3 linked regions of the Notamacropus eugenii genome follow. The protein of the gene in region 2 purifies or fractionates together with the protein of the main gene of each other region. This does not show direct contact. Links are inferred from orthologs where the notes say so. Each region holds a gene or a part of one and is shown on either strand. Other genes may lie near its edges.

Region 1 (7,158 bases), about 69 Mb from region 2:
CAACGGCATCTTCTCTAGCCTACACCACCAAGACTACAGAGGCAAAGCTAACAGGTTCTTCTCCAAACAAGGAAGCAAAGGCCTGCGTTTGGGTTGGATTAAATCTCCCAGCTATCCATTTCTGGTTTAGTTCTAACAGCACTGCTCCATTTTTTTTTAAACTAACAAATAAAATGATGCACCTATTTTCTTAAGAATGTCAGACCTTTGCTCTTGCTATTAATACAAAATTATTTTATTATTTTGCACTAAAGATGGGTGGTGATGGGGTTTAAAAAAATTGTCTGACACTTTATGTATTTGCTTTCATAATAATGTGTTTAATAAGCCCAACAACTCTCTTTAATGATTTAAATTTTACTAATTAGCAATTAACTAATTATAATCTGTCCTGTTATATCAGAAAGTTTCTGGATGAAACCATTATCAATTGAAGGCTATTCAACTCTTTCAAACACATTTATATCAATGAAAGCTAAGCCAAAAAGGTTGCCCACATATGGATTTGTATGATCTATTCCATCTTTAAAAAAAATAACCGTTCAAGTGGGCTTTGCAAGAGTACAATTTGGGGGATCGGTAATATCCAACTTCTTACCAGTTATTTTTGGATGCTAAATATTTATGTAATTTTATAAAATTTCTGGTACGTATTAAAAGGATGCTGAGAAGCTGCTGGCCAGAACTTTGCACTATATCACAAAAACAGCCATCACTTACTTAACCATACCCATTCCTGTGTATATCGTTTAACAATTTAGTTATCTGGGCAAAAATAAGTTGGGATAATTGAGAAAGGAATGAAAAGGTCTTTACAGGCACCTAAAATGGCACCACTTTATTTGTACTAAGGCAACTGTTCTGTCATTTGAAATTTATGGAGGCATTCAGGAATAGCGCTAAGTAATGAAACAAGAATCAGAAGCTGCTATCTTCTCCTGATAGTTACACCTTAAGGTACATTATCATGAAATATATGTATCTGGTATTTGTATAGAGAATAGGCAAATTCAAACCATTTGGCTCTTCAACAAGCTAAAGTGACATTGAGAGGCAAAATCAGACATGATCCTATTACTATATATTTCAATATGCTGCAGACCTGATCTATTGGTTTTTAGTTTAAATTTCTCCAGACCCCACTCCCAAAAGATTTTATACCACCATTTAACATTTTGAAAGCTTAGAATTAAGTAGTTTGTATAATAACTCAAATTTAAAATTCACCTTCCCAAAATCTGAACTTACAATGAGAAAGCTCAACTGACCATATTAAGGATCCAGTAGGAGAATGGGCCTTGAGTCTTTTAAAAAAAACCAAGACCATTACCCTTCATACCTGATTTAAGACCTGTCAAAGAGGCAGCAACTGGCTAAATACCTTCTGTATTCTCTTAAATGGGCCCCCAAAGCACCTTCTTCAGTTAAAATGCTACAATTAAAGAGTCTACAAGTAGGAGTGCATATTCCAAAATGGCAGCACCATGTTTCTTTGAATCTTCTTAAGATAGAAAATCGACATTACTCTGCACTGGTGGAATCCTCAATGCAATGAACAAATGTTTTACTTAATGCCCACTAGATCTCCATCAGAAGAGAAAAGTCAAGAGTAAGAGTGGGCAATCAGTATACCTGGCTACCTTCCAGGCCAGGGCCAGTCAATGAGTCATGTGATCTAGGGAAAGTCCTTTGACCTGGCTGGAAGCTGTTGGCTTCCAAGATCCCCTCTAAGGATCAAGAGAAATGCAGCACTATACAAATTAAAGGATTATTAACCTGCCAAACGACTTTAACACATAAAGAACTCTGAACCCAAAAAGCTAGATACTAGACACCCTTAGCTGGAGATGCCACAAGAAGCTAAGGCAACAAACAGAGGCAACAAGGGAAAATGCTAGTCTTTCTTTAAGCATTAAGTGCCCCCCAGGTGTTAAACCTAAAACCACAATATTCCTGGCCCCTACGGACCTTCCATTTCCTCCTCAATTTGATTCCAAATATCCCTCTTTATTTCCCCACCATCCTCTGGAGCACAGTAGTTTTTTTCTGTAATCTTTGTTTTAAAAGGGTTTTTAAAAAATCCTATTTCTGTATCTGATGGGGGATTCCTTTCTTCCCTTCACCACCAACGGCCCCTTGGAGCCCGAGATCGTGAGGATCTTGGCACTCGAGCCTCGGGGCCAGGTCCTGCTCAGCTCCACGGGGAACTTTTCCGGGCCTGGTTCCTGGCCCCTCCCCCCACCTAACAGGATTGGGAGCGGAGGGAGAGGAGCGCCGCGGGCTGGGCCCTCCCCGACCTTCCTCTCCTGCGGTATTTCTGCGGGCCCTCTGCGGACGGGAAAGCGCTCCCCGGGGCCGGGGGGAGGAGGGGGCAGCCTCCGCCACCTCCGGCAGGGTTCTCGCCTCCTTTCCCCGCCTCTACAAGGCTCCGAACAAGGTCCACACCCTCCCAGCTCCAAGGCCTAGGTTCCTCTCCGCGCCTCGGTTTCCCCATCTGGACCCGGGGCCAAGTCGCCCCGGCCGCCCCCTGAATAAATAAGGGCCGTTTCCCGCGCCGGTCCTGCCTCAGTCTCCTCCTCCGGGGGTGCCCGCGGCCTCCATGGTGACCCCCCCCCCTCCGCGCCTCGGGGTCCAGCCCAGTCGGCCCGCCCCCTCCCCCTGCCTCGGTTTCCCCGCCTCACCCTCCGCGGTCCCGGTCCCGGTCGCGGTCTCCGAAGCCGCCTCCTCGCATGGTGGCGCCGGGGTCGGGCAGCGGGGCGCGGCCGGGCGGGGGCCTGAGGAGCAGCGAGGCGGCGGCGGGGGCGCAGGCCGCGCGGAGGGGCCCGGCGGAGGCGGCGGCGGACGAGGCCGAGGCGGGCCCGGGGTTCGGAAGCGCTCGCTCCTCGGCGACGTCTGCCGTCGTCGGCGTCGCCACCGTCGCCTGCGGTCGCGTCGGAGACGGGCGCGGGGCTGGGAGAAGGCGGGCGCGCTGCGGCGGCGGCGGCGGCTGCGGCGGCTCCTTCCTCCCTCAGCGGCGCGGCTCCACAAAATGGCGGCCGCCGCGCCGTCTCCAGCGCTACGCACGGCCCAGGCGGCACGTAAGCCGCTCCGGATAGCGCGCCCCTCCCCCCGCCCCGCGCGCCCCCAGCAGAGGGCCCCGGCGCCATTCCCGAACGCGCGCCACGCCGACTGCGCAGGCGGCCGCCACCCGCCGCCCGCCAGGGCGCCCCCGAGCTACGCAGCGCGCGTAGAGCTGGCGCGCGGCCGGGGCGACGACGTGGCGTAAGCTGGGGCGGGGGAGGGGCGGGGGAGAGGGGGAGGGGCGGGGAGCGGCCGGGTCGCTACGTAACATTCCTGGCGTCCGCAGCCCGCCGCCCGCCCGCGACCGCGGCACTGCGCCCTCTACGTAGTGTAGCGGAGGTGGAGAATACCGGGTTCCGGCCTCCACTGCGGCGGCGTCGCCGCGACGACAATAACGTCCTCCATGTTGCGGGCTTTGGAGCGCCGCCGTCCCCGCCCTTCCCCCCGCCGCTGTCCGCAGGGCCCGCCCCTCCCCCTAACTCGCGGTGCGCCTGCGCACCGGACCTCCCCCCCACCCCCCGCCTCTTTTCGAGGTGCCCAGTAATTATCTAGCGCTCGGGCTAGCAGGCACACTGCAGGCGCTTAATAAATGCACAACGAGCTGGCCGCTGAAAGCCGGTTCTCCGGTCCAAGCCTGTCCCTGAACTGGCACTGGATTGGGTTCCCTGGTGCGCCCCTCCTTAGACGGCAGGCGGGGGAAGGGGGGGGAGGTTTGGTGTCTTTAGCGAACCAAGAGCTTGGTTACCAGTAGGGGCTTCATAAATGCTTCGTGACTTCCCTCTTTTTACCCCAGAAGAAACCGAGGGAAAGTGACTGGCCTCGAGACCCACGGCAGGATCTGAGCCCGGACCTCCCCGGCTCGGGCCGCAGGCTCATTCTCCCTCCAGTTGGACCCCACTTTCAGGGACGCCTTTGGAGTGGTTGGTCGTTTCCTTCAATTCATTTTGAAGAGGAGGAAACAGGGTAGGTGACTTGCCCAGGGTCACACGGCTACCTGGCGTCTGGGGTCGGATTTGAACTCAGGTCTTCCAGACTCTAAGCCCAGGGCTCCGCGCTGACGGCGCACCAAGATTGCTACAAAGTGTCAGTCCTTAGGCTAGCAGACGCTGGGAAGGAGGTGGGCAGGCTGGAAAGCGAGCTGCGCAGGACCTGCTGGCCCCAGTCCATCCCTGATGGAGAGTGAGGTCCAAGGCAGGAGGCCTCTGCCAGAAATGAGCCGGTGACCTTGGCCAAGTCACTTCTCTAGGACTCAATTCCCTCATCTAAAAATGGAGAACTTAGATTTGGCATAATGTTCACCATCTCAGATGATTCCTGGCTAGTTCCCTTTGGATAACACTAGGACTTGGCCTGGATGTGCGAAGCACTGGCATCCTCTGCCTCATCTGATCCCCAGGACAGACCCATGAGGTATCGGGATCTCAGCCCTTCAGCTCCCAGGGCTTCTCTTACTACTTGTGTGGGGAGCTCTACCCCTCCCCCTCCAGTCCCACAGCCTTCTTCCCCTATGTCGCTTTGGGCTCCTTCCTGCATGAGACAATACCTTCCCCAGCCCGGACTCATGCTGTCTTCCCACGATAATATTCCGTCAAGACTTTAATCTTTTCTCCTTAATGAATTCACCAGGCACTTTTTAAGGGCCAGCATCAATCACTCAATGTCTTCTAGACCTCCCTATTTAACTCCATTCAGCTAATTCCAATTGTAATTCCAGTTCCTGGGGGTCACTGTCCTTAATTGCTTTTTTAAAATAATTTATTTTTAATCCTAAGCTTAGCAAACATCAGGGAAAACACAAACATTTCTATTTGTGGAGAAAAAAAGATTGTGTAGGAAACCACAAAGCTCTATTATGGACAGCTTGGCTTTTTAAAGTATGCGTTTAGTTAAATATGGCAGTTTCAACACTGGCCTGCTTGTCTGATTCCCCTTCTGTGTATTTTAAAATATTTCACTGACACTTTTCTTTTTCTTTTTTGGACATTAGTATCACTCCTTCCTCATTTATTTTCAGCACCCCCCCCCCACACCCAAAAAAAGGCCTCCCTTATTATAAAAAAGCATAGTTGATTTATGCAAAGCAAAATCACTCCCTGGCCGCATCCGAAGGTATATGTCTCCTGGATCCTCCTCCATCTAACCTCTTCCCAGACATGGGAAACAGACTTCATCCTCCGTCTTCCAGGAGTTTGGATGGAGCAGCATTCTGAAGTCCTTCCCCAGTTATTTGTCATTACAGTGTGGCTGTAGTGTAAATTGTTTTGGCTCCTCTCTGCATCATCATCCCAAATTTCTCTCAATCTGTCCCTTTTCTCATTTCTTATAGTACATTACATCCCATTACATTCATGTACCACAATCTGTTCAGCATTTTCCCAATTGATGGGCACTCACTTTGTTTACAGTCTTTCTGACAATAAAAAGTACTGGCTAATAAAAAATTGTGTACATATGGGGCCTTCTCCTCTGTCTTGGACCTCTTGCAAGATATATGACTAGTTCAAGAGACACACACATAAGTGATTTTGGGGGTATAATTCCAAGCTGCTTTTAAGAATAGCTGGAGCAATTCACAGCTCCTATCAACAGTCCACTGGTGTACCTGGCCCTCCCAAAATTGTCATTTTCCTTTTTGAGGCCATCTTTGCCAGTCTGAGCTAGAATCTACAGCTGTTTCAACTTGCATGTGATTTGAAGCATTTTTCCATCTGGCTGTTGATACCTTGAATTTCTTCTTTTGAAAACTGCCTGGTCTAGATTTCAGGAAAACCTGGAAAGATTTATTTACATGGTCTGATCCTGAGTGAAGTGAGCAAAACCGTAACAGTGTACACGGTAACAGCAACATTGTGCAATAATCAACCACGATTGACTTAGTGGTGATTTCCTCAGTGACACAGTGATCTAAGACATTTACAAGGACTCATGACAGAAAAATGCTGTCTACATCCAGAGAAAGAACTGACAGTCTGAATGTATACTATTTTCAGTTTCTTTGTTTTTTTCATGGTTTTTCCCTTTTGTTCTGTTTTTTCTTTCACAACATGACTAATGGGGAAATATGTTTTACGTGACTGCATATGTATAACCTATATCAGAGAGGAGGGAAGGAAGGAGAAAAATTTGGAACTCAAAATCTTGTAAAAAATTGTCTTTACATGTAATTTGAAAAAAAATAAAATGACTTAATTACCAAAAAAAAAAAAAAGCCACCCAACACTCTGCCTGGTCATCTCCTCTGACCATTGATCTCCTGGGGAATACCATTTCTTTCTAAGACAGAGAGCACTGTACCTTTGCTCAGGCTATCTGGCTTATTTGGAAGGCTTTCTCCTTACTTCTATGTTTCTCTGAAACCCTAGTTTCTTCAAGGCTTAATTCTACTGCCACTACTTATGGGAAACCTTTCCTGATCACCTCAGGAAGAAGCAAGGCACAGTGAAAAGACCACTGGCTACAGATTCAGAGGAGCTGGGTTAAAATTCCACTACCCAAGTGATGACCTCTCTGGGCCTCAGTTTCCTACTCTGTAAAACTAGGTCTGATGTCTCTTACAGCTCTAGATCTAGTTCCTATGACATGATTGGTCCTTTTTCCTCACTCCAATTGCATTTATTTACTTTTCTGGGTAGGATGAGAGCCAGGAATACTTTATTTTGAATCCCCAGGACTAACCCAGCACCTAGAACATTTCGTGGTGGGGTGAGGAGGAGAGAAGGGATCTGCAATTTCATCCCTCAGAAACTTCCTCTGATAGTATAGCTGGAGAACCCTTTGTAGTTTACAGTCTTCTAGGGTAGCCTAGGAGTTGTGTCTCACCAAGATGTGTTGGAAGCAGGCTTTGAATATAGGACTTCTTGACTCTAAGGCTGGCACTCTGAGCACCAAGCCATGGTTCCTCTCACTTCACATATGAGCATAACGAATATTTGCTGGATTAAAGGAAATTCACATTTTAAATAAGACTGGATCCCTGGCCCTCCTGGGAAGGTCTTATGCCTTCCTTGTTGACTTCTTCTGCTTATCATCCCTCTCCCTGTTTAAATATAATCTCACCACACTAACTGACCATCCATGCTACCAACCATCTCAACATTT
Region 2 (7,709 bases):
TTTTTTTTTGAAAAACTACAATACTAATCTAGACTACCACACCATAATACTTGTTTGGGTTCACTTGATACCTACCACTACCACCGCCAAAGCCGCCTCCGCCTCCTCCGTTGTTATAGCTGTCATAGCTGCCACTCCCGCCATAGCCACTGCCCTGGTTTCCATAACCCTGTCCACCACTTCCATAGCCTCTGTTTCCTCCAGAGTAACCAGGGCCGCCTCCTCCATAACCACCTACAGAAGAATACAATTCTTCTCAGTAAGACAAATTTGACAGTCAAAAAATACATGCAAGCTTAAAGGCTCAAGGCCAATACACAGCATGCATGTTATGTTGGGACAATCAGGTCAAGCTCAACACATGCAGCACTTAAAAAACAAAAGAAAGACAACAAAAAAAGCAAAACTAGGCCTGTTCTAATGGGGGAGAGGAAGGGCCAAGAATCCTTTTATTTACCCAACTTGATATAATTATATTCTAAGTAAGATTTTAGCACATACCATCATTTCCAAATCCATTGTAGCCATCTCCACTTCCACCATATCCTCCACCACCACGACTGCCGCCAAAACCACCTGGAAGAAAAAAAAAAGGCATTCAGTTGGGCATCAGCTATCAAACCTAAATAAAAAAAAAAAAAACCCAACAAAAAAACGAAAGAAAACAAAACAAAACAAAAACCTAGTCATCCTCATCCAGCCAAGTTACCTTTACTATAACCAACTTAGGTACCAAATCAAGAATAACACCATATCCAAACCACTGGTGACCAAACTATCTGCCTGAAGCCAACAGTCCAAAATGGTAATAAATCAGAGGAATGCTACCAAACAGGCAGCAAAGTCCTGACAAAAGTCCAGAAAGAAATAGTAAGGATGGTCACTAGACTGGAGAGGAAGCAGCAAAGTTTCTCTTTTCCACATGAATACCTAAAAGCTTTAACAGAAGGCCCAAACAAAATTAAAAGTACTGCTGCTTGCTTACTGTGAAAATACATACCACGACCACTGAAGTTCCCACCACGGCCAAAGTTGTCATTTCCACCGAAGCCACCCCCTCGGCCACCACCAAAGTTCCCAGAACCACTTCGACCTACGCGCACACACACAAAAAGACCACCCTTAAAAAACTGGAGACAATAAGCACAAGATGGCAACCAAACCAGTGGTATAGAAAACTTACCTCTCTGACTAGATGAAGCGCTGGCCATTTCTTGCTTAGACAAAGCTTTCCTTACTTCACAGTTGTGGCCATTCACAGTATGGTATTTTTGAACTAGGAAAAAAATCTCCAATTAGAAACACCTAACTGCCGGTAAATCTCAACAAAGAAGATTTACAAAGCTTGGTTACTTCCAATACCATTTGTGATACTCACTGACAATCTTATCCACAGAATCATGGTCATCAAAAGTAACAAAAGCAAAGCCTCTTTTTTTGCCACTGCCTCGGTCAGTCATGATTTCAATTACTTCAATTTTTCCATACTGTTCAAAATAGTCTCGTAAGTGATGCTCCTCAGTGTCTTCCTTAATGCCACCCACAAAGATCTTTTTCACAGTTAAGTGGGCTCCTGGCCTTTGAGAGTCCTAGACAAGACGAAAAACAATCGGTGGAAATGGCTAGGAAACTCACAATCTCGAGGTCGCAGAAGCCTTAAAGGACTAACCCAACCTGTATTATAAATCGTTACTTCCAAAAAGATGAAGGAACATACCTCTCTAGATACAGCTCTCTTTGGTTCAACAACTCTGCCATCAACTTTGTGAGGTCTAGCATTCATGGCTGCATCTACCTCTTCCACTGTGGCATAGGTAACAAAACCAAAGCCCCTGGAACGTTTGGTATTTGGATCCCTCATCACCTGAGACATTAAGGGAGCAGAGACAACATGTTAGTAAGCAGTAAAGGCAATAAAAGGCACAAAAGTCTCTTGCAAGTACAAAAGCAGATGATGGGCCACTGAGCTTCTTGCACTAACCAATTTAAGAGGAAGTTATTTCCAACAAAAGCACATTTTAAAGATACCCCCCACCCCCACGTGTGAATTTTTCTCAGGATGTACAGCCACTTCCCGGGCCTCAGCACTCACCACGCAGTCTGTAAGCGTGCCCCATTGCTCAAAATGGCTCCTTAGGCTCTCGTCCGTCGTCTCAAAGCTCAGGCCTCCGATGAAGAGCTTCCGAAGCTGCTCGGGCTCCTTGGGGGACTGGACGACACGATTCAAAGAATTGGAAAAGGGAAGGGTCTTTAAGTCATGGCTGGTGGTCGGGAGGGGGGGGGGGGGGGAATCGGCGCGGGACCCTGGCTGAAAGAGGCGCTGCGCTTTAAAGTACACGCGCCCCCCCCCCCCCCAGCAGGGGACAAAGAGTGGGCCCGAGGTTTACACTAGCGCCCAGGCCCGCCTGTCAGAAGCCCGGGTACGGGTGGGTAAAGAAAGGGGGCAAAAAAACAACGCATGCGCAACAAAGAGAGGGTGGATGACCGCGAATACAAACGAAAAAAAAAAAAACCTGGTCGTCAGGCAATCGAAACCAGCCCCAAATCAAGGGGAGATAAGGCCAAACGAGACAAAGGGTTTGGGCCGGTGGCACTCGAAGAGCCTGTAACTCGAGGACCGCGAGGGCTAAAGGCTCATGGCGGCCGGGCCTACAAAATGGCGACCTAGGAGGGGGGGGTGTGGAAGGAGCAGGCCACAGCGACAGCAGGCTACAGAACTCACGGATAAAGGTCGTATTAGAGGCGTATTGGGCTAAGCACCGTAAGAGGATACGGGGAACAGAACAGAGAAGAACGAGATAGCACAATCGTTGGGCTGCGACTCCCTTACCTCTGACTTCGACATGGTGAGAGCGGTAGCAAAAGCTTCAGCGATCCTTCTCCAACGGTGTCGAGAACAGAAAGGAGATAGCTAACTAGCGTTTCTGTCTCCCCACCTTCGTACCCGCTTTTTAATCCCGCCTCCTCGCGTTCTGCATTGGTAGACTCCTCCCCTCCTTGTCAACCATTGGATAGCTCCAATCATTCTAGCTACCGATTGGTCTATGGTAGCGCATCTTTGCGTAGCGTAATGCGTTGCGTAAATTCCGCCCCGAGGAAGCTGCTGATTGGCTTCTGAGAAGTTCTTTTTTTTTTTAAAGCGCCTGATTGGCTCTCCTGCCAGTCACTCTTGTTTGAAGGTAACCAGTTTTTTTTAGGTAACTTTAATTTTTAATTGTTTAAAATATTACGCTATATTTAGGGAGGAAAACACTATTAAACGTGAAAAATTAAAAAAATAATAAATGACTAACAATTACTTCTTGGGCTTCTATTCTCTGAGAGCGCATGCGTAGTGCCACAGCCAATTAACGCAAGCGCAGTAAAAAGACCTGACGGCTATTTGTACAACGTGTAATGGCGGGGAAGAACGGACCTATGTAATACACCTGCGCAGTGGCGGGAGTCTTGTCCCTTTATGCGCATGCGCAGTGGGCGGAGGAAGGGTCCTTCGTTGGATCGCGTGCGCAAGCGCAGCGGCGGATCCGTTTTGGCGGGCGGTTGGCGTTGCGCAGAAGGCGGCGGTGGTTCCTTGTGGTCCGGCCTCTTCGCAGAGGAACGGGGACAAGGTTAGGGTGAGAGAACGCTCTCAGTCCCGGGTAAGTGGAAAACAACCATGTCTACACTTCTAGGTCCTTGGAGCAATTCCAATCGGGCCCGTTATTGTGTGAAATGAATGGACCGCTGGGGTGGGGGGGGGCGGAGGAAGAGCGACAGGGTTGATCAACCAATAGGCGAACAGGAGGCGGGTGTAATTGTCCTGATGGCCTGTCCTCTCGTCCAATGGCTGTATAGGAGGGAACCCAATGGATGAATAAGATTGACAAGACCGTAGACCAATTGAGACTCCATTTGGTGGTTCTTAGTAACTGACATCGATCCTTGGGCCACAGGAAGGCGGGAGGCGGGTTCTTTCCTGAGCTGGGACGCTCTAAGCAAATTGGAGAGAAGTGCGCGGGGAGGTTGGGCTCGCCAGAGAGACAAGGGTCTGAGCCCAATGTGAGAGATGAGGGCTGGGTCTTTCAGATAGATGGACCAGGCGAATAGCCAATGGGAGGTCAAACCAAGGAAAGCGCGCGGGGAGACGGCCCAATCAGCGCTCTGGCGGGGGGTGGGTTTAGATTTGGGGTTCCGAGGAAGGAGGATTGCCTTTTGGGGGTGGGGATCCCTAGGGGATGACTTGTTTTTCACGGAGGTCTGTGGGCTTGCCCAGTCCCATCTGTGGTCCTGTTCTGAGGCTTGTAAGCCTGATTGATCATCAGTGCTTGCCTTTTCTTCGGCCCTTTTTCCTCTTAGGGTTCAGTGCAGGCCAGGGAAAGACTAAGACCACATGTTTGTCTACAACCTTGCTTTGTACCCTATAGGCACACTCACCCCAAGACCACATGTTTGCAACCTTGCCTTGTAACACATACTTACACTGCAAGACTACATAATTTTTCTGGAATCTTGCTTTTTAGCACATAACACCCTCATCCAAGACCACATGTTTGTCTGGAACCTTTCTTTGTAACACGTACATACACTCCAAGACTACAAATTTCTTTGGAACCTTGCTTCTTAACACACATGTACACCAAGACCACATATTTGGAGCCTTATTTTTTAACATAACATAGATATTTGTCTGGAACTTGCTTTTTAAGGCACAAATATACACACACACACCTTCCCCATTTCACCCCTTTTCTTTTGCAATGAAGGAAATTTCAGACCTCTCTCTATCTAGTCATCTGGTCATCTGAAACTACCTCACTTGTAAAATGAGGAAACTTCCCAAGTAGCCATGCCTTGGGGAATCCAGAAGCCTTTCAATAACCAGGATGAATCCTTGAGGAATTGAGGTGATTCCAGATCCACACTTACCTATTCACATGTTCGTGAATGAAAGAAATGTCATCAGATGCTTTGTTCCAGACTAGTTCAGTAAGGGTTAATAATTGAGCTTCTTTGGAAGTAGCATAATTTAGGAAATTTTATTATATAGTCCCCTCTGACTTTGTACACAAAAGAAATAAAATTTTAAAAAGACATTTGGTAAATAAAAACTCAAAATTTGCTTTCCTGCTCATTTCCATTTTCTGTGATCTATGCAAAAGATGAAATCTTCTGAGGAGGCCCTGTAATTTCCTTGGTTTAGGGAAGCACAGAGTAAGGAAATCAAACTCCTTAAAGTGTCAGAATTCCTGGGATAGTTTAAGTGACTTGCCGGGGAACACTCAACCAGGATATATGTGTCAGAAACTAGACTTGAACCCATATTTTCTTAACTTCAAGACTATCTCTCTATCCACAATAACAGGATGTATCTGAAAGTGATCTAACTAGTCACAATCTCAGTATTTGACCACAAGGTGTGATGTGAGATGAGTTAAAATTAATCATTATATCATTTGTTTTAAAGGTAGGAGGGAAATGAATAATTTGATTTAATACCACATTTGATGAGAATCTCATGTGAACCTTTATCTGCCTTTCATATAAACTGGAGATTAAACATAGGGAGAAAGAGATATGCCATATGATAGTAGTATTTGAAAACCAGATTAACAAGTGTGTGGACTCTTTATTTAAAGATCTGATAAATCAGATCTATAGGCTTCACATTTTCCAAGAAAAGTGTATTTTTTGTGTTTTCCATGTATGGTTGAATAAAAACAAAAATTCATTAAAATTTTTATTATTGTTACTAACCTGTGACCTGTTAATTGCTATACATTTGTATTGTGTTCACAGACGTTGAATGCTTAAAATGAGTGTGAATGTGCTTTTGTTCAAAGTGGACTTTATTTCATTATTTCTTTTATTTTCAGCTAGGTTGGACCTCTTAACAAGCCATTTTAATTAAGTGGTTTGTTCACACTTTTTCTTTGGAAACTAGGTCCCCAAATCACTCCCTCTTCCAGTCAAGAATGGACAGCTGATTTACCATCTTTGGGAAAAGGTGTCTTCTTTGTCTGTGAGGATTCACCTTTGCAGCCTGTTAAATATGAAATGTGTGAACATGGCAGTTTGAATGACAGATTAAGTGAGTAAGGATTGGGAGGCTGAACAGCTTCAGGTTCAACCCCAGAAGTTCTTGGTTGTACAGCTAAAGTAAGCAACAGTTCTTGATTTAGTTTGTTTTGTTGAGAATTTTCCTCTTTTTAAAAAAAATTTTTTCGTTACATATTAAGTTCTAAACTGTCTCCCTTTTACCCTCTCTCCTCATCCTGAACTTAGAGAAGGCCACCATTTGAGACTGATGTGTGTGTGTGTGTATGTATATACACACACTCTCTATATATGTATGTGTACATACACACACGTAGGCATATATGCATGTATGTAAAACCTTACACTATATACATATATATATATATATATATATATATATATATACACTTCTATTTATCAGTTTTTTCTCTAGAGATGGATAGCATCTTCCTTCATAGGTTCTTTGTAATTGATTTGAGTATAATATTCAGAATAACTTAGTAGTTCATAGTTATTCCTCAAACAATATTGCTGTTACTGTACACAACATTTTCTTGGTTCTGCTCATTTTGCTCTCTTATTTTATGCAAGTTTGTCCATGTTTTTCTAAAATCAACATGCTCATCATTTGTTATAACACAGTAATATTCCATCACAAATCCTATATCAACTTGTTCAGCCACTCTCCAATTGATGGGCATCCCTGCAATTTATCCCTGCCACTACAAAGAGAACTGCTTTAAATATTTTAGAACGTAGGTTCTTTTCCTTTTACCCTGATCACCTTGGAAAACAGATCTAGTAGTGGTATTGCTAGGACAAAGGGTATACACAGTTTTATAATTCTTTGAGTATAATCCCGGAGTGCTTTGTAAAATGGTTGGATTAGTTCACAGTTCCACCAATAGTGTACTAAATTTCCAATTTTTTTATATCCCCTCCAACATTTGTCATTTTCCCCTTCTGTCATTTTAGCTAATCTGATAGGTGTGAAATGATATCTCAGAGTTTTAATTCGTATTTCTCTAAACAGTAATGATTTAGAGCATTTTAATATGACTATATATTGCTTTGATTTCTTTGAAAAACTGCCTGTTCATATCCTTTCACCATTTATCAATTGGGGAATGACTGACTTGTATTTTTTAGGAAATTCTTTTAACTTGTATCCAATCTTCCTTCCCCCCTTCCACTCCATTTATTCCTCATGGAATAGTCTACCGTGTTTATGGATAGAATTTGTAAATTTAATATGAATTGACTTCTAGTCCAAGGTGTTAAGTAAATGTTCTGGTAAATTTTATCCTGTTAACTCCCTGCCATTATGCAAGTGGGGACTTTTTATTTTACATCTATTATTGCTAACTTGGTCAGCCCTGAAGTGAAGCAGCGGAGGTGCTCTTTGTGCCAAAGAAATTCTCATTTGACCTAGTCATGTAATATTCAATTTTCTTTTTCTGCCATTGAAAAATCCAGATTGAGGAATAAGCTGGTAGAGATTCTATTAACTGTATTGAGCATTGAACTCACCTTAAAAAAACAGGCCATTTATCTTGAAGACTGTTAAAGATCAAGATCTGTTTTGGGGAAACTAGAGAGCAGGATAACGGCTAAAACTTATAGCTTGTCTCAGGAGGTTAGGAAAATGAATGAAAGGATGACCTGATTTGCCATCCTGTGAAAAGCTATAGACA
Region 3 (7,551 bases), about 190 Mb from region 2:
TTGAAGTTTTGAATCCAACAACCTACTACTATTGCTACTTATTTTAAGAAAATTACATTGCTCTGTATGGTCACAAACTTCAGAGTAAACTCCAGTACCTTTCCTTCTTCCTAGAACACTCATCTTCTCCTGTCCATGATCATACATGTCTTGTGGGAAATGAAGTCCTTATTCTCTTCTAAGAAGCATTCATATTTGGGGAGTAGGCATCTTGGGAAATAGAATCCTTTCACACCTCAGTTATGCCTGTCAAATGCGACTTGGCTGCTGAAAAAACTAGCTTAACTTTAAGGCAAGTTAATAGAAGGACAATGTGCCAAACATGGAAAATAAAAGTATTCTGTCCTGGCCAGCCTAAATTTTAAGTATTGTGTTTGGTTTTTAATGCTACAGTATAGAAAAGGCATTGATAAACTAGAGAAGGGTGAAGTGCACCAATTTCTGTGTGGATACATGAATGAAAAAGCTTACTGTCTGCTAAGTGTTGGGACCACCAATCAAAAACAAGATAGACCCTTCTCTCACATTCTAATTGGAAGCCACATATATAGGAGGTCTTATAGGCATATCAGATAGGAAAGTTCTATGACTTTTAGGGTATGGTGGCAAAGCTGATGTTAAAAGTCTTTAATGTCATGTCCACTGATAAAACCATCTCTAGCTTTGTTGTTGAACCATTTGACAGTACTAAGGGACTTTGGTGGGAAGAATGTTCTTTTCTGGGTCTTCAATAGCTATGCCTCCTGTTAAGGAGACAGAAGCTGTAGCACCTATAGGAACAGGATAGGTCACGACTCCATGAAGAAGACACTGATATTTCCATGGTTCTTGGACTTACCTGCCTATTCCTGGCAATTACACAGGCTGCTCCCCTTGAACATAACTATGAGAGGCTAAGCTGGAAACACTGCTGGTGGTCTGAGTGGGTGGGAGGAGTCCCCACTATTATCTGGATTCACAACTCTGGGCTTTCTCTGTTAGACCCTTAGGGGAGGTGATAGCTGACACCACAGCAGTGATTGGCTTCCCTGGCATGTGCTGCTCCTGTTTTTTCTTCAGGGTACCTGACTACTTCACCTAAACTGGCATGCCAGGTCAGCTGGTGGCAGTTGGTGGGATAGCTGGCTCCTTGTCCACAAGTGTTGCTTCCTTGGTTGATGGCCACAAAGGCAGTGCTTGGAGAAGTCTGGAGGGAGAGGAGTCACTATTCCTGAGGCTTTGGAACTAACTAGTGCACATCAGTAGCAGTTGGTCAGCAGTTGGTATTGGTGGTGGAGTGTATGATGGGTCCCTTCTCTGACTCCCTTTCACAACAGCTTAGGAAACCTGGGTAGAAGCCACTCAGGGGGTCTGGGAGGCACTGCTAATCCCAATGCTCTTACAGATCAGGGACCTGGGCTATCTCAATTGGCATCTGAAGGGCAATAGTCATTGAAATGGAGACAACGGTTGGGTTTGTTGTTTGAAGTGTTACCTACAATTTTTCTTTTTTTAAAAAATAATTTATTTTTAGTTTTCAACATTCATTTCCATAAGATTTTGAGTTTTAAATTCTCTCCCCTTCCCTCTCCTCTGCCCTCCCCAAGACGGTGTGCAATCTGATACAGGTTCTACTCACACATTCATATTAGGCATATTTTCACGTTATGTGACATGAAGAAGAAACAAAACAACAAAAGAAAACAACAAATAGCATGCTTCCATCTGCATGCAGACTCCAAAGTTCTTTCTCTGGATGTGGATAGCATTTTCCATCATGAGTCTTGGAGTTGTCTTAGACGCTTACACTAATGAGAAGAGCCAGATCCATCAAAGTCAGTCATCGCACAATGTGGCCATTACTGTGTCCAGTGTTCTCCTAGTTCTGCTCATTTTACTCAGCATCAGTTTGTAGGGGTCTTTTCAGGTCTTTCTGAAGTCTACCTATTCATCATTTCTTATAGCATAACAGTACTCTATTACATTCATATACCACCACTCGTTCAGTCATTCCCCAACTGATGAGCATCCCCTCAGTTTCTAATTCTTTGCCACCACAAAAAAGCTGCTATAAATATTTTTGTACATGTGGGTCCTTTCCCCTTTTTATAATCTCTTTGGGATACAGACTTAGTCGTGGCATTGCTGGGTCAAAGGGTATGCAGTTTTATAGCCCTGTGGGCATATTTCCAAATGGCTCTCCCAAATGGCTGGATCAGCTCCCAGGTCCACCAACAATGCATTAGTGTTCCAATTTTCCCACATATTTTTCAACATTTATTATTTTCCTGTTTTGTCACGTTAGATAATCTGACAGGTGCTTCCACTTTTTCTCTGGGTACCTCGTTGCTCTCCCTACCTACTCCCATGAACGTATATAGACACACACACATGCATACACACATAACACTGTCTCACAGTCTCTAATGCAGAATGCACTAAGGCATCCCACAACTACACACTACATGACATGAGAGCAGAAGCTGTCTTATCTAAACTTTTTAAACAAATCTTCCTAACATCTGGAAGTGTTTTTCAGGTAGCGGCCTTACACCTTCTGGATTTTAAGGCGCTTACTGTCCTACATGTCTGCCTTTACTTTTCTGCTAGAAAGGGCATGGTTTCAGGGAAGGAGCACTAGACTTAATGACTGGTTTCTGGCTCCATAAGACGCTCAGTTTGGCTACTCATCAAATAGGGAGCATGGATGCGTCTGTGGGTGCCACTGCCACGCACCGTTGCTTGTGTTCACACGTGGCCGTGAGTGGCGGGCTTCCAGCCCCCCCCACAAAACCTGAAGTGATGAAGAACTACTGGGACAGGTGTGACAAGAGCCTTCCGACACCAACACCGCACAGGCCCAATTCCCAAACTCTAGAGCAGGACTCCCATAGTCCTCTGGGGCTGCCTTATCCTGACCGCACTGCTGGTGCCTCTTCCCTGAGAGCTCTAATGCTGGCAAAATGTGGCCTTGGCAAGATGCCCACCACAATCCTCCTTTTCCTTCGTTTGTTTGCTGGTCAAAGTTGCAACAGCTCATAATTTTCGGGGGGAAAAGAGTGGGAATTCGGTGAGGGGCCTCCCTTGTGCCTGGCACGCTGTCGGCGGACGCCCTCGAGGCCGCCGGGGGTCTCCGGGGTGGCCCTGGCCGTCCCCCCACCCCCAGGTCTAAGGTGAGGAGGGGGGAGGCCAGCGGGGTTAGGGCGGGCGAGCGGCCCAGCAGGAATCAGCATCCCCAGCGGCCGCCGTGGAGAGGAGCGCGCAGCCCCGCGCACGTAGCAGCCCCAAGGCCGAATCTCTCCGCCGTCCGCTCCCAGGCAGAACCACAGCTTCTAGCGGGCCCTCCCGCCCTTCCTTCCACGCACCTCGCACGGACGCACGCCCCCTCCCCCAACCTCGCCCTTCCCCTTCACCCTTGACCCAGGCTTTCGGCCTGTGCTCTCTCCCCACCCCCCGCCTTTCAACAGCCCCTCCCCTTCCCTCCGCCCATGGCGCATGCTCCATGATGCAACCGGCCCCAGCTCCCAGGCCTCAGGCCTTACGGCCTCCTGGAGGCCCGCTAACGGCGGCGGAGGGAGGGGACAGTTCGCTTGGAGTCCCAGCCCAGTTTGTCTCCTTCCCTCCTCCCACCCCGTCCGTCCATCCACTGGGAACTGGGGGGATGGGGTGTGACCGTGGCGGGGCTGGTGGGGGCGGGTGGTGCCTGCCCGTCCGTTCTGACTTGGGCTGAGGAGCGGGCCTCATCGGGCTTCGCTGGGCCCGCTCGGGCCTGTCCTCACTTCCCCCTCCCTCAGCCTCGCTCCCACTCCAGCCCAGGCACCGCCTCTTCCGCCGGCCCCTGCAGGGTCTCCTTCCCGTGCGGCGGCGGGCTGTACGTCAGCGCTCCCCCGCTCGCCCGCCACACACTCCCCTCCTCCTCCTCTCCTTTCCTCCTCCTCCTCCTCTCCTCCTCCTCCGCCCTCGCCCCCTCCCTCCCTCAGGCAGCAGCAGCAGCAGCAGCAGCAGCAGCAGCAGCAGCCCCAGCAGCAGCAGCAGCGGGAGGAGCAGCAGCCCCGGCAGCAGCAGCACCAGCAGCAGCAGCGGCGGCGGCGGCAGATCCCTCCCCAGCCATGGCCCTGTGAGGCAGCAGCACATGGCGGCCGCAGCAGCCATGAGCGCCCCCCCGACTCATACAACTCCCCCCTAGACACCGCCGCCTGCCCGGCTCAGCCCCCGACGACCCAGCAGCCACCCACCCGGCCCAGCCCGCCCGCCCACCAGCCAACCGCCTCCAGCCGCCGCCGCCGCCGCCAAGGAAACCTCCGGCTCCTCACTCATCCTCCCCCGCCCCATTTACCAGCCGCCGCCGCCGCCGCCGCCACCACCGGAGACCGAAGGGGGGAGCTCCCGGGGAGGGAGGGAGGGAGGGAAGGAAGGGGACGGACACCAGCCCGCCCGCCAGTCCAGCCGAGCCGCCGCCGCCGCCGCTGCCGCCCGCCGGGCTGAGGGAGAGGAGCGGGCGAGGGGAGGGGGAAGGGCAGCCTCCGCCAGGGACCTCCGCCCGCCGCCGCCGCCGCCGGCCGGCCTGCCCACTTCACCTCATCGCCGCCGCCGCCGCCGCCGCCGCCGCTCCCGCTCCCGCTCCTCCTCCCGCGCCGCCGCCGCCGCCGCCGCCATGGGAGTCCAGGGCTTCCAGGATTACATCGAGAAACACTGCCCGAGCGCCGTGGTCCCGGTGGAGCTGCAGAAGCTGGCCCGGGGCAGCCTGGTGGGCGGCGGCCGCCAGCGGCCCCCCCAGACCCCGCTGCGCCTCCTCATCGACGCCGACAACTGCCTGCACCGTCTCTACGGCGGCTTCTACACGGACTGGGTGAGCGGCGGCCAGTGGAACCACATGCTGGGCTACCTGGCGGCCCTGGCCAAGGCCTGCTTCAACGGCAACATCGAGCTCTTCGTCTTCTTCAACGGGGCCCTGGAGAAGGCCCGGCTGCACGAGTGGGTGAAGCGCCAGGGCAACGAGCGCCAGACGGCCCAGCAGATCGTCAGCCACGTCCAGAACAAGGGCACCCCGCCGCCCAAGGTCTGGTTCCTGCCGCCCGTCTGCATGGCCCACTGCATCCGACTGGCCCTCATCCGCTTCCACATCAAGGTAAGGGTGGGGGGCCCCTTCCCTGCCCCCACGCCCGCCCCTCCCCCACGCCTGGCACCGCCGCCCCCCTCCGGCTGGGCTCCGAGCACCCTGGCATCACAGCGCCCCCTCCTCTCCTCGGGCATCTGTACACCATTGGCTGGCTTCGCCTCTCCCTTGCCGAGCTCCCCCTTGTTCCTTGGCATCCGAGCGCCCCCTCTCATCTCCCCTGGCATCGGCCCCCCCCCCGCCCTGGCCATGGCATCGACGTTGGCTCAGTGGCACCCACCCAGGCCGAGAGGGAACCCCCTGCCCCCGGAACGGGAGATGGATTTAATTGGCCCGAACGCCCGGGGCGGGGAGGACTGTTGGGGGTGGTCTCTCGGGCGCCCTGGAGTTGAGCTGTTGGGGTTCGGGAAATCGCACCCCTTGCCCTCCTTCCCGGATCCGCAAAATGTCGTCCCAAATTGGCGGTGCTGGGGGCGGGGAGAGGAGACCGTGGCCGGGAGACGGAAAGTTTGCAGCGCTGGGCCTCGGGGGAGGTTGGGGGGGCCGTGAGCGGGGCCCCCTGGGAAGTGGGAGCCCTGGGCTGAGCGGGCGCCTCCTGCAGCGAGTCCTGGAGCGCCCGGGCCTCCCGGGCCCCCTCCCTCCTTGGGGGGCCTTTTCTGGGGGGTTGTGCCTTCTCGCTCCAACTTTGTTCCCCCTTGATGATGAGAGTGAATTTTCCCTCAGACTTTTGCCCCCAGGGTTTGGGGAGGTGTGCGGGGGCTTCCGAGCGGAATGGGGGGCATTTCGGGGACATCTATTGGGATCAATCTCTCCTCCCCGCCCCCCCGTCCCACTTTTTCGTCTTGAACCTTTATCTACGAGGGTCGAGTTCGGTAGTAGTTACTTTCTCAAACAGCAACAGGTTCTGCGATGGAGAACAAGATCATTTAAGCATAGCTTCCCGGAGCCGAAGAATAAAAACTAAATTTATACTAAATAGTGTTAAAAGGATTTTAATCCGTACGTGGCTCACTAAGTTGACCGAAAAAGTTAATTGTAGAACTCTGGTTGCTTCAGATCTCAGAACCATATTGCTGGTTTAACTTTTTTTCCCTTAAAAATAATCCAGCTTTGATGCTCAGACTTATTTTGTCCAATTTTTGCAAGTTGTAAACCATTGGATAACCTTTAGAGTTAGTTCTGCCCTTTGGGGGCATCCATGTAAGAGCTTGCAGGTGAAACTAGCAAGTTTCTTGTGTGCTCGATGGGAAAGGCCGGCGTGACGCCGAGTGTGGAAGCCGGAGACCCCGGGAAAGCGTGAAAAGTTCGCGTGAATGTGCGGGCTCCTGCCTTCTCGCCGGGTGAATGCTCAGCGACCTTCGGGCGGTGCGGGGATCGGTGCGGGGATCGGAGGAGGGCTTAGCCCGCCCGGCTTTGTGCTGCCTCCTCGCCCGAGGGGCCGGGCCGGGGCTCCCAGGGTGTGTGTCCCAAAGTTTCGCTTTTGGTGTGGGGGGTTCAAGTGGAGATGAACCCCATGTGCGTGTTTCATCCTAGGAGCTCCTCCTTCCAGCACCGCCGGCCCGGTGGCGGCTCCTTTATTTTGGCACGAAAGCGAGCTGGAAGTTTGAGGGGGTTTTCACTGCTCGGATAACTGCCTCCTGAAATGTAAGGAGAATTCAGACCCAAATGATGGCGGAAGTCCCACCTCCGTCCTGGTGCTATTGGTGAAAATGGGTTTTGAGTCTGTGGGTCGATGGATCCTGAGAAGCGATTGGCCCGGGGGAATAGGAAACGTGCAGTGTGTCCCTGGCTTCGCGGGGTGCTGTGCGGGGCGGGTGGGGGCCGCCCGGGAGCCGGGGCGGGGGGGCGGGGGTCCGGGGGGCCGCCCGGGAGCCGGGGCGGGGGTCCGGGGGGCCGCCCGGGAGCCGGGGCGGGGGGGCGGGGGTCCAGGGGGGCCGCCCGGGAGCCGGGGCGGGGGTCCGGGGGGCCGCCCGGGAGCCGGGGCGGGGGGGCGGGGGTCCGGGGGGCCGCCCGGGAGCCGGGGCGGGGGGGCGGGGGTCCGGGGGGCCGCCCGGGAGCCGGGGCGGGGGGGCGGGGGTCCGGGGGGCCGTGGCCTCCCCCCGCCAGGGGCTGGTTCTGAGCCGGTTGTCACTGCCGTGTTGCTTGGGAGGCGGGCAGCCCGTGGCAGCTTTTACTTTGAGAATCAAGTCCTGTCCTCCCTCGCCGAAGCCCTGGAGGTTTTCCTGGAGCCCGTCGGAGCAGCGTGACCCGGTCTGTTACCGCCGAACCGAACCGGGAAGGTGTCCGTGCGCCTTTCTGACCCCCGCTGCCCAGCGCGCAGTCTGGTTCCGGCTGGACGGACGCACTTAATTGTGGAATGATTGTTAAATCGTGTTCCATTCAGAAGTGATTTTTGAAAAGGAAGACTTACTTTTTCACGTGGATCCCCGAATACAAATACTATGAAGAAATGCTAT

Evidence for each region.
Region 1: the proteins of HNRNPA1 (region 2) and DDX17 purify together in Homo sapiens (affinity purification with mass spectrometry; 4 studies listed by BioGRID, with this or other methods). This does not show direct contact. The link is inferred for Notamacropus eugenii from reciprocal best matches to the Homo sapiens genes HNRNPA1 and DDX17.
Region 3: the proteins of HNRNPA1 (region 2) and FAM120A purify together in Homo sapiens (affinity purification with mass spectrometry; 4 studies listed by BioGRID and IntAct, counting the BioPlex papers as one, with this or other methods). This does not show direct contact. The link is inferred for Notamacropus eugenii from reciprocal best matches to the Homo sapiens genes HNRNPA1 and FAM120A.

The regions. Positions count from the first base shown.
Region 1 is NC_092874.1:295,927,134-295,934,291, forward strand, and holds the start of DDX17 (probable ATP-dependent RNA helicase DDX17), read right to left. Parts: upstream 3,004-7,158; 5' UTR 2,732-3,003; coding exon 2,682-2,731; intron 1-2,681. UniProt on the Homo sapiens protein: As an RNA helicase, unwinds RNA and alters RNA structures through ATP binding and hydrolysis.
Region 2 is NC_092874.1:227,403,236-227,410,944, reverse strand, and holds the start of HNRNPA1 (heterogeneous nuclear ribonucleoprotein A1), read right to left. Parts: upstream 3,014-7,709; 5' UTR 2,846-3,013; coding exon 2,831-2,845; intron 2,210-2,830; coding exon 2,093-2,209; intron 1,865-2,092; coding exon 1,718-1,864; intron 1,590-1,717; coding exon 1,379-1,589; intron 1,277-1,378; coding exon 1,184-1,276; intron 1,094-1,183; coding exon 1,001-1,093; intron 577-1,000; coding exon 502-576; intron 235-501; coding exon 76-234; intron 1-75. UniProt on the Homo sapiens protein: Involved in the packaging of pre-mRNA into hnRNP particles, transport of poly(A) mRNA from the nucleus to the cytoplasm and modulation of splice site selection.
Region 3 is NC_092874.1:422,041,396-422,048,946, forward strand, and holds the start of FAM120A (constitutive coactivator of PPAR-gamma-like protein 1), read left to right. Parts: upstream 1-4,548; 5' UTR 4,549-4,633; coding exon 4,634-5,107; intron 5,108-7,551. UniProt on the Homo sapiens protein: Component of the oxidative stress-induced survival signaling. May regulate the activation of SRC family protein kinases. May act as a scaffolding protein enabling SRC family protein kinases to phosphorylate and activate PI3-kinase.